Linked DNA regions of Nothobranchius furzeri. The protein of the gene in region 2 interacts with the protein of the main gene of each other region in a biochemical or structural test. Links are inferred from orthologs where the notes say so. Each region holds a gene or a part of one and is shown on either strand. Other genes may lie near its edges.

The links.
Region 1: the proteins of arl2 (region 2) and unc119a1 form a complex in vitro, tested with the Homo sapiens proteins (2 studies listed by BioGRID and IntAct, with this or other methods). The link is inferred for Nothobranchius furzeri from reciprocal best matches to the Homo sapiens genes ARL2 and UNC119.
Region 3: the proteins of arl2 (region 2) and pde6d are reported together in a solved structure, tested with the Homo sapiens proteins (2 studies listed by BioGRID and IntAct, with this or other methods). The link is inferred for Nothobranchius furzeri from reciprocal best matches to the Homo sapiens genes ARL2 and PDE6D.

The regions. Positions count from the first base shown.
Region 1 is NC_091753.1:37,618,769-37,623,437, reverse strand, and holds the end of unc119a1 (protein unc-119 homolog A), read right to left. Parts: intron 3,673-4,669; coding exon 3,559-3,672; intron 3,401-3,558; coding exon 3,310-3,400; intron 1,898-3,309; coding exon 1,725-1,897; intron 1,657-1,724; coding exon 1,544-1,656; 3' UTR 940-1,543; downstream 1-939. UniProt on the Homo sapiens protein: Involved in synaptic functions in photoreceptor cells, the signal transduction in immune cells as a Src family kinase activator, endosome recycling, the uptake of bacteria and endocytosis, protein trafficking in sensory neurons and as lipid-binding chaperone with specificity for a diverse subset of myristoylated proteins.
Region 2 is NC_091754.1:61,092,989-61,098,192, reverse strand, and holds arl2 (ADP-ribosylation factor-like protein 2), read right to left. Parts: upstream 3,127-5,204; 5' UTR 2,999-3,126; coding exon 2,934-2,998; intron 2,675-2,933; coding exon 2,564-2,674; intron 2,417-2,563; coding exon 2,254-2,416; intron 1,899-2,253; coding exon 1,818-1,898; intron 1,752-1,817; coding exon 1,617-1,751; 3' UTR 1,108-1,616; downstream 1-1,107. UniProt on the Homo sapiens protein: Small GTP-binding protein which cycles between an inactive GDP-bound and an active GTP-bound form, and the rate of cycling is regulated by guanine nucleotide exchange factors (GEF) and GTPase-activating proteins (GAP).
Region 3 is NC_091756.1:55,095,430-55,101,026, forward strand, and holds the end of pde6d (retinal rod rhodopsin-sensitive cGMP 3',5'-cyclic phosphodiesterase subunit delta), read left to right. Parts: intron 1-512; coding exon 513-638; intron 639-2,327; coding exon 2,328-2,433; intron 2,434-3,711; coding exon 3,712-3,793; 3' UTR 3,794-4,658; downstream 4,659-5,597. UniProt on the Homo sapiens protein: Promotes the release of prenylated target proteins from cellular membranes. Modulates the activity of prenylated or palmitoylated Ras family members by regulating their subcellular location.

The sequences.
Region 1 (4,669 bases), on a different chromosome or scaffold from region 2:
TCTCGTTTGTAACTGTATCAGCTCCTTTTCTGAAGGGAGTAAATGAAAAAAAAAACCTGCTGAAATTGCTGTTCTATTTCTTAGATTTTCAAAGTACCAATGAGTATTTTTATGAAACGATCGTATGAACAACACACAACTTTATGCTAATTCTCAAGGTTTCTGAGCTTGAGCCTTTAGTTTTTTAACTTACGCACCCAGAGAAACTATTTTATCAGTTGTTTAAAGGGAAACTAGGCAGCTTTGGCTTGTTTCTAGCACCCCCTAGTGTCCATTTAGTAGAACCAAAAGCAAAACTTATCTTTTCACTGTGTGTTCATCTTTTTACTGTAACACCTTAACCAAACAGCTGAAATGTCTCCTCAACTTTCATTAGTTTCTACAGGAATGATTCAAATGATATTATGATGACACTGCATGTATGTACAGGATGATTGCTAAATGAAACAAATCAGCTGTGTTCATGATGTAAAACATGCAGGAAACAGACTGCAGTGTCAGGTATGTCAGCTCTGAAGTTGCAAATGCGGCATTCTGTGTATTCTGGCCAGAGGGGGGGGGGGGGGGGCATTTCAGCACATACTGGTTCAAGAAAATGATTGAAAAACATAAAAAAGTTGAATAGTATCCCTTTAATTAAACGCCCTATAAAGGGTGATGGCAGCTTTAAATGATTCAAAAGTTGTCTCTCATTTACGAATTTGATCAAACAAACCATTTTCTGTGATTTGACATTGACTGGGCAAACAGTGTAGTACAACTGTTGTTACAGGAGATGGCAGCAAAGACACTATGTGAAGTTTTCTTTGTTGCCTAGGAGGAGGAAATGTTAAATTGCCTTTTTTTTTTTAATAAAAAACGTTATAAAGGACAGCAACATCCCAATGGCTGTCGTTTCTAATCCCTTATTTATGTGTAAAAAAATTAAATGTCCGCAAAAAAAATCCCAATTTTTATTGCATTAGTGAAATTTATCACAAAAGTTTACATGTTTTAATATTTTGATCATTAAAACATTTCTCAGAATCGTAGGTTACACAGTGTTGAGTTGGACAGAAACCTTAAACAGTCGCCTGATCTTTGGCTAACATTTATTTCTGACGCTTCAAAAAGGCTATTTGTTCAAAAACACCCCTGATGAACATGGAAACATGAAAACAAACAATGCACCCACGGACACTATGTTCACATTCTTCGGATGTCAGACGAGATCGCTCAGAAATGTGCACTTCTAAGTAAAAATGTAATCAGATTTCTATCCAAACTATAAAATCTAAAACACGTCTGAATTCAGACTTCAAATGAAATAAAACAATGATGACCAAATGGAGCTGACGTATAAACCAACAGTTTGTTCAGACACTGCATGTATTGGCTGCCCACACGCTCACTAGTGCAAACTGGTGATAAAACTGGCAGAAGTGACTGTTCCTGCAGCAGGAGACGGGATAAACTACTGCCAGTCACGACGTGTCCATCAGTCCATGTGTTTCTGGTCCTGAAGTCGTAGGAAAATGTCTTGGATCTAACTGGAGTGGTGTTCCTACGGCCCTCCAGAGTAGGAATAATCGGCTTTGTTGTGCATCACCAGCTTGTTGTCCACAAAGTAGAAGCTGTCGGATTGCGTCTCGTAGGGGTGTTGTATCATCTCACGCACTGAGAAAAGAGAACACACTGAATCCTGTGCTTGTGTGTGCTGAGACATTTCTTATCTTTATACTCACTGATTTCCTCAGACAGGGTGGGGAACTCATAAATGTGCTCGCATGTGTTCTTGCTGCTGGGCATGCAGAAGCCAAACTCAAAGTCAAAACTCTTTAGCAACTTGTCTCGGAAGTAGTGTCTCTCTATCATGCGGAAGTTGTTGATGGGGGCGTCTCCGACTGTGAACTCCACCCTGCAATAGCGCACAGCGATGATAATAAATGTTTTAAAGGGGAACTAGGCACTTTTGGCATGTTTTTAGCCCCCCTAGTGTCCGTTTGTAGAACTGAAAGCAAAACCTCGTTGTGCGTTTGTCTTTTTAACACATTAATCTGACAGCTGAAACATCTCCTCAGCCTTCATTAGTGTCTACAGGAGTGAGTCATCACTAAATTAAACAAATCAGCTGTGTTCATGATCTACAACATACAGGAAATGCACTGAAATCAGATTGCAGTGCCAGGTTTGTCAGCTCTATCTTTTCTAAGTCCCAGCAGAGAGGCCGCCAGTCTGAAGTTGCAAGTGGAATATTCTGGCCACAGGGGGACGATAGGGGCTGGGTAGCATTTCATTAACCAAAGGGTCATTTTAGCACATACTGGTTCAAGAAAATGATTTAAAAATATGAAAAAGTTGCCCCTTTAAACAACAACAAAAACAACAACAACAAAAAATAATTGAACGGCTTGAAGTTCAGAGATCTTGAAATTAAAATCAGAGTGGATTTTTGAAATTCCTTTTTTTCACTATTTTCTATCTTTTTTGTTATTGCTTGTAAAGATAAAGCAAATGTTGTTCAGAGATCTAGTCAATATGTGGAATTACTGAAAAAAAAATACAGTTTTTAGTGATAAATTATAAATGACCCGCACTTGTATAGCACCTTTCAAAGTCAGAGGACTCCAAAGCGCTTTACACTAAAGTGTATCATTCTTCCATTCACACACACATTCACACCCTGGTGGTAATGATCCACACTGTATCTACAGTTGCCCTGGGGCACACTGTCATTTACTTGCAAATAAGCATTGTTCAAACTTCTCACAATATTTTGGCATCTTTTTCCCCCGTAGACGACACCTTATAGCTAGTGTTACACAAAGTGGGTGGAGCTCCACTCTTCACCCATCTAAAAAATAACCCTAACCCATCACAACACATTATCATGGTGATGCATTAAATTAAGAGTCAAGGTTTGTTGCACGCTGCAGACTTGACTGTGAGGTTCGAGTCAGCTTTGAATCAAATTAGTTGTGAATCATGAAAATTTAACATAAAAGTTTCATTCAAGCACTTGTGTGTGGCAGATTAAGGCTAGTGCCTGTTTAGATGTTTATAGTGGTTATTGATGTATTTTAGCTGTTATCACTATAAATGAACAGCAGAAACTGCAGCAGCAGTGACAGGAACAGTTGGGTTAAGTTTACACCATGCTCTCTGCTCTCCTCTGTTTGCTTAACACACACACACATACACACACACACACACATACACACACACACACACACACACACACACACACACACACACACACACACACACACACACACACACACACACACACACACACACACACACACACACACACACACACTTTTGACTTACGTGGCTCCAACCTGTCGAAGCTGCAGGAACGCTGGTGTGAACTGGTATCGGACAAAACGCCCGGTGTTTGGGTCACATTGCTTTAGGCATCCTGCAGGAGGAATTCATAATAAGCTCTTTTTCCATCTATAAGAAACAAGTTCATTGTATATGCCTTTGAAATACAGGCTTTCAAATATTTTCCACACAAATATTTTGCAGCTTTAGTCTCCGCAAACAACGCATGTCTCTCTGTGGTTTGGAGCTGACCTGCTGTTGGAGGCTTGGTGATCTCAAACAGGACCGTCCCCGTTTCCATGTCACGGATTTTAAATCTGGTGAAGTCGATCATGTGAACATTTTCTTCTGGAGAGCAAAGGTAATCTAAAAAAATTAAAAACACACACACAACCTTATGCGATCAGAAGCAAAAAGCATATTTTCCTGATTTCACAGGAAACTAGCAATCATTTCATCTACACTCTGTTACGGAAAGTTTGAGCTTTTTTGTAGTTGCAAAAATTTTACACACAAAAGAAAAAAAACCAGGACGATCAGAAAAATCTACTTAAAGCAGAAGTCACCAACTTTTGTGAAGTTAAGAGCTACTTCACCTGTACTGAGCTGCATGATGGGCTACCAGGCAGTCAATACTGACTTTTGAACTAGAATAAGTTTGAATTTAACTAAACTTAATGTATAATAAACATATTTTAAGCCTTTTGTAACAAAATCATTTGGATGAAAAAGGCTCTCTTCTTTGGGCTTGTCCTCTATGAAGGCTCTCAACATCTGTGTCCATGTATCCAAATCCAATTTATTTATAAGGCACTAATAAAAAACAACGTGAACAAAATTGCTGCATAATGAGCACATGTATTGAAGACAGAAATAATACAGTGACGTGATAGTACAGCAAAAACCAACCGAGTCTTCAGGGGAGATTTGAACAAGTAAGAGTCAGCCTGTTTTACATTTGTAGGCAGCTTGTTCCACAACCTGGGACCAATCACCGAAGAGGCTCTGTCTCCTCTGCTTTTGTGTCCCATCTGGGGAAGCACGAGCAGTCAACGTTCAGGTGACCAAAGAGACAGGCACATGCAAAGTCAGTAACTCTGACAGGTAACACGGGACAAGGCCATTTTGGCATTAAAAAAACAAAAACAAAAAAACCTACATTTAAAAATCTATTTGGTACCTGACTGGGAGCCAATGAAGGGCCGATAGGACCGGTGTGACATGATTGTATCTTCTACATTCTCTACCTTCACATCAATTAACTTCATGTCCTCTTTCACACATCCATAAATCTGCTTTTTGGTCTTCCTCTTAGCCTCCTGCCTGGTGTCTACATAAGTAGAAGAATTCTGAGGGTTGGAGT
Region 2 (5,204 bases):
TTCTCTTTAGGCTCAGCAGCTGTGATGTGGTCAGATACCCAGAATGCTTTTGGTAAGTTTCATGTCTCCGTTAAACTTAACATGATCTAAATGGACGTGATGAGCAGGTGTTACCGCCCCAGTCTGATGTTTGGTGACTGATTGGTATCTTCTGATCTAGTGATTTAACATTTCCCAGATCTGAGATGTTCTTCTCATCCTAACTAGTCTCCTCCTCCTCCAGGCTCAGCGGATGCAGAAGTACTCCTGATCTCCTACAAACGTTTGCTGTTGGGTTGTGGTCTTGTTCTAGATTAAGCATTCCCTGAATGTGTTTTACCTTGTTTTCTACGTTAAGGTTTACTTTATTTGCTCCATTTGGATTGCTTTTATTTATCGTGGTTAACATTTCTGGTGCACCTAATTAAGCGCCTTGGGCTTCCTGACAGGAAGACGCTTTATAAATACAGCTTTGAGGTTTTTCACATTTTCCTGATTTTTAAATAAACTTAAAAAAAACATGGAGAATAGTCTGCTTTCCTATTTTTGTCCATTAGGTGTCAGTAGAGCTCAAACAACTCCAGCTAAAAATGCTGACTAATGTCAGCTTCTATGTACTTAAGTAGTTTGTTGCCAGGTGTGCACATCCTCAGGTGTGCATGCGCTGTCAGAATAAATAATGCGTACCGGGGGGGGGGATGCTTCAGCACACATTTGTGCACCTAAGACTGGAAGAAGAAACATTTCTGGAGCATATTAAAGATGTCCAAGAAGCAAGCTCCATTAATTATTTTGGTGTTCCTCCGCCTCCAAAAAAACTTCAGACTGAGTCGGAACCGCAAAAAAATATTTGTGGAAGTGGCTGCAGGAGGTCAGCTGGCTTCAAACTTAACAGATTCGGTGCAGATTATGCCGTGAAAATCTCACCCTGGCGGACCAGCGGCGCCTTTTACATAGGCACTAAAAACTTAAACCATCCAGCGTTTGATAAACATGCGAACAGCAGAGAACATCAGAAAGTTGTTCGGGAAGTCAATGAAGCCGGACGCAGCCAGGCCCATGATGAGGACGATGAGTAGAAATAAAGACGGTGTTTATGCCATTTAAAAAAACTTCTGTGCTCTGAAATGGTAATTAAGGGCTTTAAATTTTTATTTGATTTTATCACATAAGCAGCGATTTACATTGTGTTTTACATTCAGAAAATTCAGTCATGTTATTTGAAAATTAGGTTTTAAGTTAAGCTGGCAATATGTACATTTTCTTGTTTTCAGTCAAAATCAAAATGTTGCATCAACGCGTTTGTTTTGTTCCTATTGTGAGTTAAGAATTAAGTGCATTAAAAGTGAAGACCAAGCAGCAACCACGGGTTCTCCTGAGTACCAACACAAATATGATGGGCACCCGTTTGTAGCAACGAAGCTGAACAACTTCCTGAAAACTCAACTGGTTCTAGCTCCCAGGTCTAGCATCCCAAGGCAATTTCAGAAAGGCTAGTTTCATGACTTGTGGAATTTTAATACACTACAAATAAACCAGTCAAACCTAGATATCAAGTTTAATAAAATAAATCATGAAGCACAAATCAGCTGAAAAAAAAAAACAGGTTTTTACAGAAGTTTGGTTACCGCCGACCCTTAATCAGCAGTGAAGATCCTCGCTGCGATATCATCCGTTAACCAGTCCACTCCTGCTAACAAGTTGTCCCCCGTCACAGCGCTGCAGCCAATAATACACCAGTGGTGACTCTTGATGTCGTCCAGTGCCAGCGCCTGTAGAAGAACATCTCATGAGATTGTTGTGCTTTCTAATTATGAACACGTGAGAGTTGGGCTTACCTCTCTAATAGCTTCTTTAGACAATGCTCCTGGTAAGTCCTGCTTGTTGGCAAACACCAGCAGCGTAGCACCAGCTAACCTCTGCAGAGTCAACAACCACGCAGGATGTAAACAAAGACTCCAGCTCTAAACTGGAAAAAAGAGCATCATTTTGTGGAGGCACTTCTCGCTTTTGTCCGTATTTCACACTACTGTAGGTCTACACAATGTAGTTTCTGCAAGTATCTGAAGCACCTGTTCCTGATTTAATGGTTAGAATACCTCAATGCTTCAAGTTCTTTATGTAAAAGCAGCCACCAAGGACCAGGATCACTTATCTGCCTCTAAGGATCTTTGATTTTATGTCTTTATCACTGTTTCTCTGCAACAACGAGTCACCAATGTCACTTTTAACCAGAAAAATGGCCTGAATCTGTAGTAGTGGATGCAGTTTGACCTCCTCCAGCAGCAGAGCACTGAGCTCCTGCCTGCAGTCGCCCAGTCGGAGTCGATCAGCGCTGTCCACCACCCACACCAGCCCGTCGGTGCTCTCGAAGTAGTTCCTCCAGTAGGAGCGTAGAGACTTCTGACCACCTACGTCCCAGATGTTCAACTTAAACCTAAAAAACACAAAGTGCAACAAACCGTTTGTTTCCTGGATTGGAATAACTTGGCGTGGAATGGTCACGCGGAAGCAGCAGATGATGCATTAATTCGTTCCTTTTGTGTTGCGTGCGCGCGCGAGACCTGCGCAGCGCCGAACTTACCCCCTGTGCTCCAGAGTTTTGATGTTAAAGCCCAGTGTAGGCGAGATGGTGCTGACATCTTCTCCGTTAAACTTCTTCAGGATGGTGGTCTTCCCTGCGTTGTCCAGACCTCTGCACGCGACAGGTCAAAGAAAACACAACACACCTGACCACAACAAACCTAGCATAGCACACACAACGGGACTTAACAGGTTAAAGTAGGGCAAATAAAAGCGTTACGGAGCCAAGCGGCTGTTCCTTGTCTCGGTTATAAAGCGACACACTGGTACAAGAGACTTTTGTTGCTATTATTCAACGCAGATGAAGTTTTATTCTGAGATGCTAACCTTGTTTCTAGCTAGGCTAATCCGTTATAAAAAATAAAAGATACAACATGAGCAGCCGCATCTCGCGCTCCTTCTGCTTCATCTTCTTCAAAATCGTCAGCAAACCCATAACGATGCTTGTAGGTTCAAACAAAAATATATTAATATTAGTAATAAGTTAAAGGCTACAGCTCTGAGAGGTTAGCTTTCACAAAGATGAGCCATGATGCGACAGATTGCTTGTCCCACCCCCTCGCTACTGATGGTTTGATTTGATGGATTTTGATTGGTTGTTGGAGATTCTCAAAGCTGTATGATTGGCCAATTTGTGTTTTAGCGTGTGGTTTAACTTTTTAATACAAAATTTATCTTTATTACAAAGTCAAAAGTGCACTTAATTAGTTCTAAATTAAAATTCACAAGCCTGTAAAACTACATACATATATGTCTATGTATAAAACACGTTCATAAGACAAATTAAATATGTTTTTCGTTCATAGCCGACGCCATATTGGACAGGAGAAGTACAAATTTTCAACAACATTTCAGAATCATCACAGATAATTATCCAGCAGTAAAAACATGCATACAACGGAAATGAAATACTTAAAATATTCTACACAGCAGAAAAAAGTAGACCATATTTTTACAAGTAAAATGAGTATTTGGTCCATCAAATTCAGAATAACATGAATTTGTTTACTGTTTACTCTCATGCCACACCCCCAATTTCTCATGCTTTTACCAAAAAAAAAGTATCTGGAAATCTTATTGAAGTGATTGACAAATACACCCATGTGTAAGTCTGCTGACTTCTCGCATTACTGCAGGTCACAAACGCACAGGCTGGAAAATAGAAGCTGTTCTCTTTAAGGTGAACAGGTGGTTCATGTATTGGTGACTGGCTGCAACCGGCCCTCTCTGCACGACCTGTTCACCTGCAGAAGCATAAAGCAGGAACAAAAGATTGTGGCTGACCCATCTCACCCTGGACTTGTGCTGTTGGAGCTTCTCTGGGAGCTGGCTGTTTGTCCATTAGAGCAAAAGCCACGCCGCACAAACATTTAGATCTCCAGCTGGGCTGCTGAATGAGCCAGAGCAGCAACTTCATCCCCTAACAAGGACAACAACAAAGTGTACTGCACTATGAAAATGATTGACTTGAACCTTGACACACATTCATCTTTGTCATACCAGATGTTCATACGCTGTGTGTGTGTGTGTGTGTGTGTGTGTGTGTGTTTTCCTATAAGTGTTGACTGATTGGCTCCTGCACCAAAACTAGATCCTCCTGAGCTGCCTGGACATTAAACCTCACAGTGATTCTGATTATTGAAAGGCTGATTGAGCCTGTTTATCATCGTATAGCATCTCAGATCAGCTGATCCTCCACCAGTAAACAGAGGTGTGGACTCGAGTCACATGACTTGGACTTGAGTAAGACTCGAGTCATTATTTTAATAACTTCCGACTTGACTTGATAAAATCTATAAAGACTTACAACTTGACTTGGACTTGAATGCCAATGACTTGCGACTTGAATCGACTTGCATCTGTTGACGTGATGATGACTTGAACATATTTGATATTTTAGCACAAAAGTGACACGACATGGACAAAAATCATGAATCGTTCTTGGTTCTGGGTTTGATTTACTGCTGAATGCAGCAGCTCTTTGTTTATAATCAACTTCACTTTCTGCTTGTTTGAGCAAATAAATGAAACTTTAAGAAGCTTTAATTCTGGAATTTATTTATTATCATCATCATTAAATTCAAGTTGGACAGATGACTTGATTATGACTTGAAAAATCAAAGTTAAGGACTTGGACTTCCACATCAGTGACTTTGGACTCATCTTGGTTGCAGTGGCGGCGCCAGGGGGCGCTAGGGGGCGCTATAGCTACCCCTGGATTAGTCATGGCACCCCAAAGTAAATATTAGATTTTTTTTTCACACTTTAATTTTAATGTAACGTGTGGATGTGGTAATATTTAACATACAAAACAAAAATAATCAGTAAATTATCATATAAATAGTAAAAACTTTAACCAAAACAGGAAATTGATGTTAACCTTTGACCTCATTTTCCACCTGCAAACCATCGACATATAGGCCGTGTTCGAATTGAGCTGCACCTCGCCTGGAAAACAGACGAGAGCAGACGGAAGCAGCAGGGGGAGTGGCTGAAAGCCGGCGTTTAAGTCGGACAGATTTCCCTACATGTGTAACTCGGGGGTGACGATGGCTGAAGATATCGCGTCAGCGTTCATACTTGTTTAATTTTCAATTTTAATTCTGGTGCCTGTTAGCAGCTGAAACACGTCCTCACGTGCT
Region 3 (5,597 bases), on a different chromosome or scaffold from region 2:
GACTACCTCTACATTTCTACGCCCAAAAAGCAAATTCAACTAATCTCCCACACAACCAGTGCCTTATTTAACACCCATTTAACCAATCAACGTTCAAAAGAATTACCAAAAAGGGACACTATCTCTAATGATAAAAGTTAGGATTTGTTTTTGCCCTCCTTTTTTTTCTGCAGCTGAATTTTTTTCCCTCTATTTCCAAGTTTAACAAATCAATAATTATATTATTAGACTCTATTCACAGCTGTTCTAGATCATTTCAACCCTCAGGAGGCAGGCGTTGCAGATTTGCAACGTTAAAACCTACCTACCTGGTTACTCCACATACGTATTTCATGAGCAGTTTTTCCTTTTATCAAAACTTATTTTAAGCTCGAGAGGGTTAATAAAAAGTAAATATTCAGTAGTGATGGGTTTCACCCTGTCCTGTGGGCTCCAAAACAAATCTGATGGTTGATAATATCCAGTAGTTTGGACGTGTTGACCTAACCGTGATGTCTCCTCTCCTGTCTCAGCTCGTGTCCCAAAGAAGATCCTGAAATGCAAAGCGGTGTCCAGAGAGCTGAACTTCTCTTCTGCTGAGCAGCTGCAGAAGTTTCGGTTGGAACAGAAAGTTTTCTTCAAAGGCCAGTGTCTAGAAGGTAATGTGTGAAACACACTCTTTCAATACAATCTTTATTTTAAAAAAGCCTGACATCTAGTCCTAAAAGTAGATGGGGGGGGGGGGGGGGTCTGCCCAGTGGATGGACACTGGAAACATGTTCCACAAGAGAAGAGCACACCTGTAGTAGACCTGCATACCGACAGCTCAGGGCTTTGTTGGGAACATTTGGAACGAAAAGCTCTTTAAATGAAGTAAATTAGTTCGATGACGATGAAAAAGCTGATGGGAGCGTGTTTCGGTGCTGATCCTAACATCTCATGGGTTTACCTCCACACACCTCCTGACCCCAGAGACGAGCCTGAGCTAAGAAATGGTGTTGGGTGGTTCTGGTGTTTTTCACAGCTGCAGAGTGTTTGCTTCAGTTTTTAATCTACATTTCTGTCATTTTATGAATGAATATCTGATTTGGATAATTTTGTATTTATGTTGAGTGTTTTTTAAACCGTTTTGATGGCCTCTGATTAATTTGATCAGAAATAATCAGTAAACATTGTTAAGGGGAACTGTGCAAAGAGGAAAAAAACAGTAAATGGTCACTGTTCTGATGTCTAAATTATAAATTTAGAGAAGGTGGCCAATTTTCTTGTTTTTTGATTTTTTTACATGAGATTTGTGACGGATGAGAATCTATAATTTCTTACTTTAAAAAAGCCCAAGATCCGCTGTAGAAGTGGTCAGGGTTTTAGATTTGATCCCCTGTTCATCAGTTTGACTCTCCTGATGTAGAACCAGTAATACATAAGCAACCAGTGAGACCATCAAAAGAGCCACGATAACAAATATAGACACATATATCCCTTCTGATGAAACCAGCAGGTAAACAGGAACACACGGATGTGCTAAAATGTAAAATATCGTAGAAAGAACAAACAAGATCACGTAAAGAGTCCGCTCAGGGAACGAGGAGGTTCTCGTGTCTCTGCTCGTGTGTCTGGAGAACTGTTCCCAAGGAGCTACGGTTACTGGAACGCCCTGGAGAAAACATGGCTCTCCCATCACAACACATTCACTTTAGTCACACTTTCATTTCGAGTCTGGAGATTTCACGTCTCCTCACAAATGTTTCCTGGCCACAGTGGTCTGTAGCTCAAAGCCCTGTGGACATTACACACCACGCAGTTTCAGCTACCGATGGTGAAGAATTAAAGCCAGACTTGGCATAGACGCTAATCAGTTAAAACATTTTTATCTAGAGATTTTTGCATTTGAGATGTTTTAGATGTGTTTACATCTGCTGATTGAGACCAGGTTCTGTAGATCCAGGCGGTTTCAGAGCAGATTCCAGGAGCAACTGGCTCAGAAATGGCCCAGAACCAATCAAGTGGAGACACACACATGTCAGGAAGCTCCTGTAAATGTACTCTGAAGTTCCCACAGTGGAAACGCACCTAGTGAGGTGTTTTCTAAAACCAGACGGGGGCTTTACTTCTGCTGGCTCCCCCCTTTCAAAACAGAGAAGGCTGATTTTCAAGCAGAAGGGGCTCCTTCCGTGTCCAAATAAAAGTTTAGCAGACACCTCATTAGACACGAGCCAGTTCTAATGAAACCTACCCTGTGATTATTAAACAGTTTCACAGTAAGTATAACTAACTTCTATCATAAAAATGTCATGGAAGGTTTATTGTGGAAGCAGAGCTGAAGGGCGTGTCTGTCTGTCTCTGTGCAGAATGGTTCTTTGAGTTTGGGTTTGTAATCCCAAACTCCACCAACACGTGGCAGTCCCTGATAGAAGCTGCTCCGGAGTCCCAGATGATGCCAGCCAATGTTTTATCGTGAGTCTGCACAAACCTTTTCTTCTTTTTTTTTTGGATTCACTCGTGATTTTGTGTGTCTGTGTCCCTGAGATGGACTGGTGACCTGTCCAGGTCCCCCAGCTCTCTCACATTGATGCATGAAGGTTTTTGTCCAGAATCATTATCAGACGTAAAGTGAAACACATGAACATGCCATTTCCCCATCCTGTTTCTTTAGCAAATGTTTAGTCATTTATGTGTATATAGAGTTCATGTGGACGTTTTTGTCTATAACCCTTAATTATGAGCAGGAGATCAAACGCTTTGTGTTTATGATCAACTTTATCAGAAAAAGGCAGTTATCTGGTGTTCAGTTCGGGGGAGCTCAGGGGAGGAGGAGCGGGGATGGAAGCTATAGCCATTTAAATTCCTAACTCTGCTCTTTTGCTTGATGACACGATGCTACAGAGAGAACTTTAATGCATATTTAATATGTAAAGTTTATCTGGCGATTCAACACAATTTACAATATAAAATGAAAATATGGTGCATAAGTCCATTTATGTCAGTAATTCAACTTAAAAGGTGAAACTCAAAAATGACAGACATTTATTTGTTATAATTGTGGTGATTATGGCTTACAGCTGATGAAATCCCCACATTCACAATCTCAGACAATTAGATTATTGTGAAAAGGTTCAATATTCTAGACTGAAAGTGTCACGCCCTAATCAGCTAATGAATCCAGAACACCTGCAAATGGTTCCTGAGCCTTTAGATGGTCACTCAGTCTAGGCTGGATTACTGAAATAAATTAACTTTTGCACCATATTCTCATTTTATCAGATTCACGTGTATTGGGATATTAAAAGCCAGATGATATTTGCATTTTTCAGACAGAATTTAACTGGAAAACTCAAGCCAGATGCTTCCAAGACACAGCCACAACAGAATGAAGGCAGTAACACTGCTGCCACCTAGCAGTCAGAGAAGGAACTGCACCACATTAGAGAAATACAGGAAATGTTTACTTGTACATTCTCAATAAAAATTTATACCGTGCTTTAAAGTATCAGTTCAGTTTTATAAAACGAATTGTCACAATATCTTAGTGTATTGCCATTTTTAACATTAGTTATGGCAGCCATTTAAATTAGTTTAATTTCACTTATTTCTAATAATTTCTCAGGTCTTGCAGCCTTATTACAAGAGGAGGGACACATTTGCAGATCAGTTTAAATTCTAGTACAGACACGGGAAGAGTTATTGTTAAAGCAGCTTCATCCAGTAAAGTTCACACCTGTTCTTGTGTTGCAGTGGTAATGTCATCATAGAGACAAAGTTCTACGATAATGACCTCCATGTAAGTACTTCCAGAGTGCGGCTTTTCTACGTCTGACCCCTGGCCTGTCCTTCTACCTTCCAGTTGGCTGATATCCTGCCCGTTGTATAAATAAAATCCAGAGGTTAGCCACAGTTTGCAGCAGTCCACTCTTTCTTACTGTCCTGGAATCAGCAGGTTTGGGTCAGAACCTGCCCCCGTGCCACACTCAGTGATGTGAGCTCCGTACTCTGGATGTTCCCCTGTTTGTGTTGATTTGGAGAACAATGTCTACTCGGAGGAAGGTGGATCTCTCTCAGCGTGACTTTTCCACTGATTTCAAATCGAGACTCAAACACAGGAATCACATGACTTGTGATTTTTACCATGTTTTAGCTTCATTGTTGTGTTCTGCCCAAGGCTACATTAACTCAGGAACAGAGAGCATCAGGGAAGCCATGCCACATGAAAGGTGAAAGGTCAATACTTAGGAACTTTATAAATCTCTTCACATCTAGTTAAGTGTGTCTGCACTAGTTCAAACCATTTTACTGTTACAAGTGCACTGTTACAAATTCCATAGCTGTGTCCCATTTCAGAGGTTAAAGGACTAGCCCCCCACCCCGCATTCTGGGCTCCTACAGCGAGGACAGCACCAACCACTTCCTGTGTGCTAGCAGCCTTAATGTCAAAAGTGAACGTTCTATAATTGGAAACTTGGAAAATATGCAACTTTTTCTGTAGTTCGCCTATTTCTGTGTAATTCCAGCTCAACATTAGTGACTGTTTAAGGTCCTTACTACAGCTTTGCTTTGCACATTCTGACTTCCCATCCACCCCGCTGTATTTGATGTTTTTCTTAGCTGTTGACCTAACTGTACAAACTAGACTTGTGTTTAAATATGGCAGGCATTGTGAATTAAATTACAATGTTTTAATACCAGGAGGTGTTTGCTGTTTTCATTTTGTTGCTTTTAAATATACTTATGTTATAATCTTACGAAGCTATTCGTAGTGACAATAGTGCCAGAAAGTTTCTGATATGTAGAAAACTGCCTTGGACATTCTGATTGTGAACAGCTCTAGTCCTCACTGTAACCTGCCCTGGGGTCACATGACCTGAAGAACCTGGAGTTGGACCTGGAACACTCCTGTTGGGTCATAGGTCAGGAAGGTTTTGCTCTGGGATCAATGAAATATGGGTTGGTGTTTTGGTGCATGCTGTGTTTTCATGTTTCCTATGCAGATGTTGTGTAGTTTTAACCAGCTGTGCAGTTTTAATTACACTTGAAGGTAAAGTACAGCCCTTGACACAAGTCAGTGACAAAAGTGATTGATCCAGCACAATGTCAATAGATACATGTAAGTTAAAATGTACAGAGCCCTCTACTCAAGAAGTATGTTGAAACAAACTTGGAGAAATGGGGATTTAAAAGGAAAAAATCTCATCTTTAGGGGGATTATTTTGTCAATACAAATTATTTTGTATGACAAATATGAAAAATACTTTTAGAAAATAACTTAATCATCCAGCACTGCATCAAGTGAGCTTTTAATGAAAGTTATAAATATGCAAAAATTACTGATTTGTAGGCCAAACTTAAAAATCCCTATATTTGCAAGAATAATAATCTTAAAGTGACAGTATGTACAGTGAACATGTAATACACATTTATCTTTTTAGTTAACTTATTTATGTGAAATCAAGGTTTGGCTGGAGATTGGGAGTTAAAAATCTGATGTTTAACCATCACTGGTATTGTGTTGAATATTTTCTCTCCATTCGTTATATGCTCATTAATACCTAGTAGTGTTTATATCAAAGTGCAAAAAAAACATTAAATGTATTCCAAAATATCTAATTGCAAAACCAAATTACTAG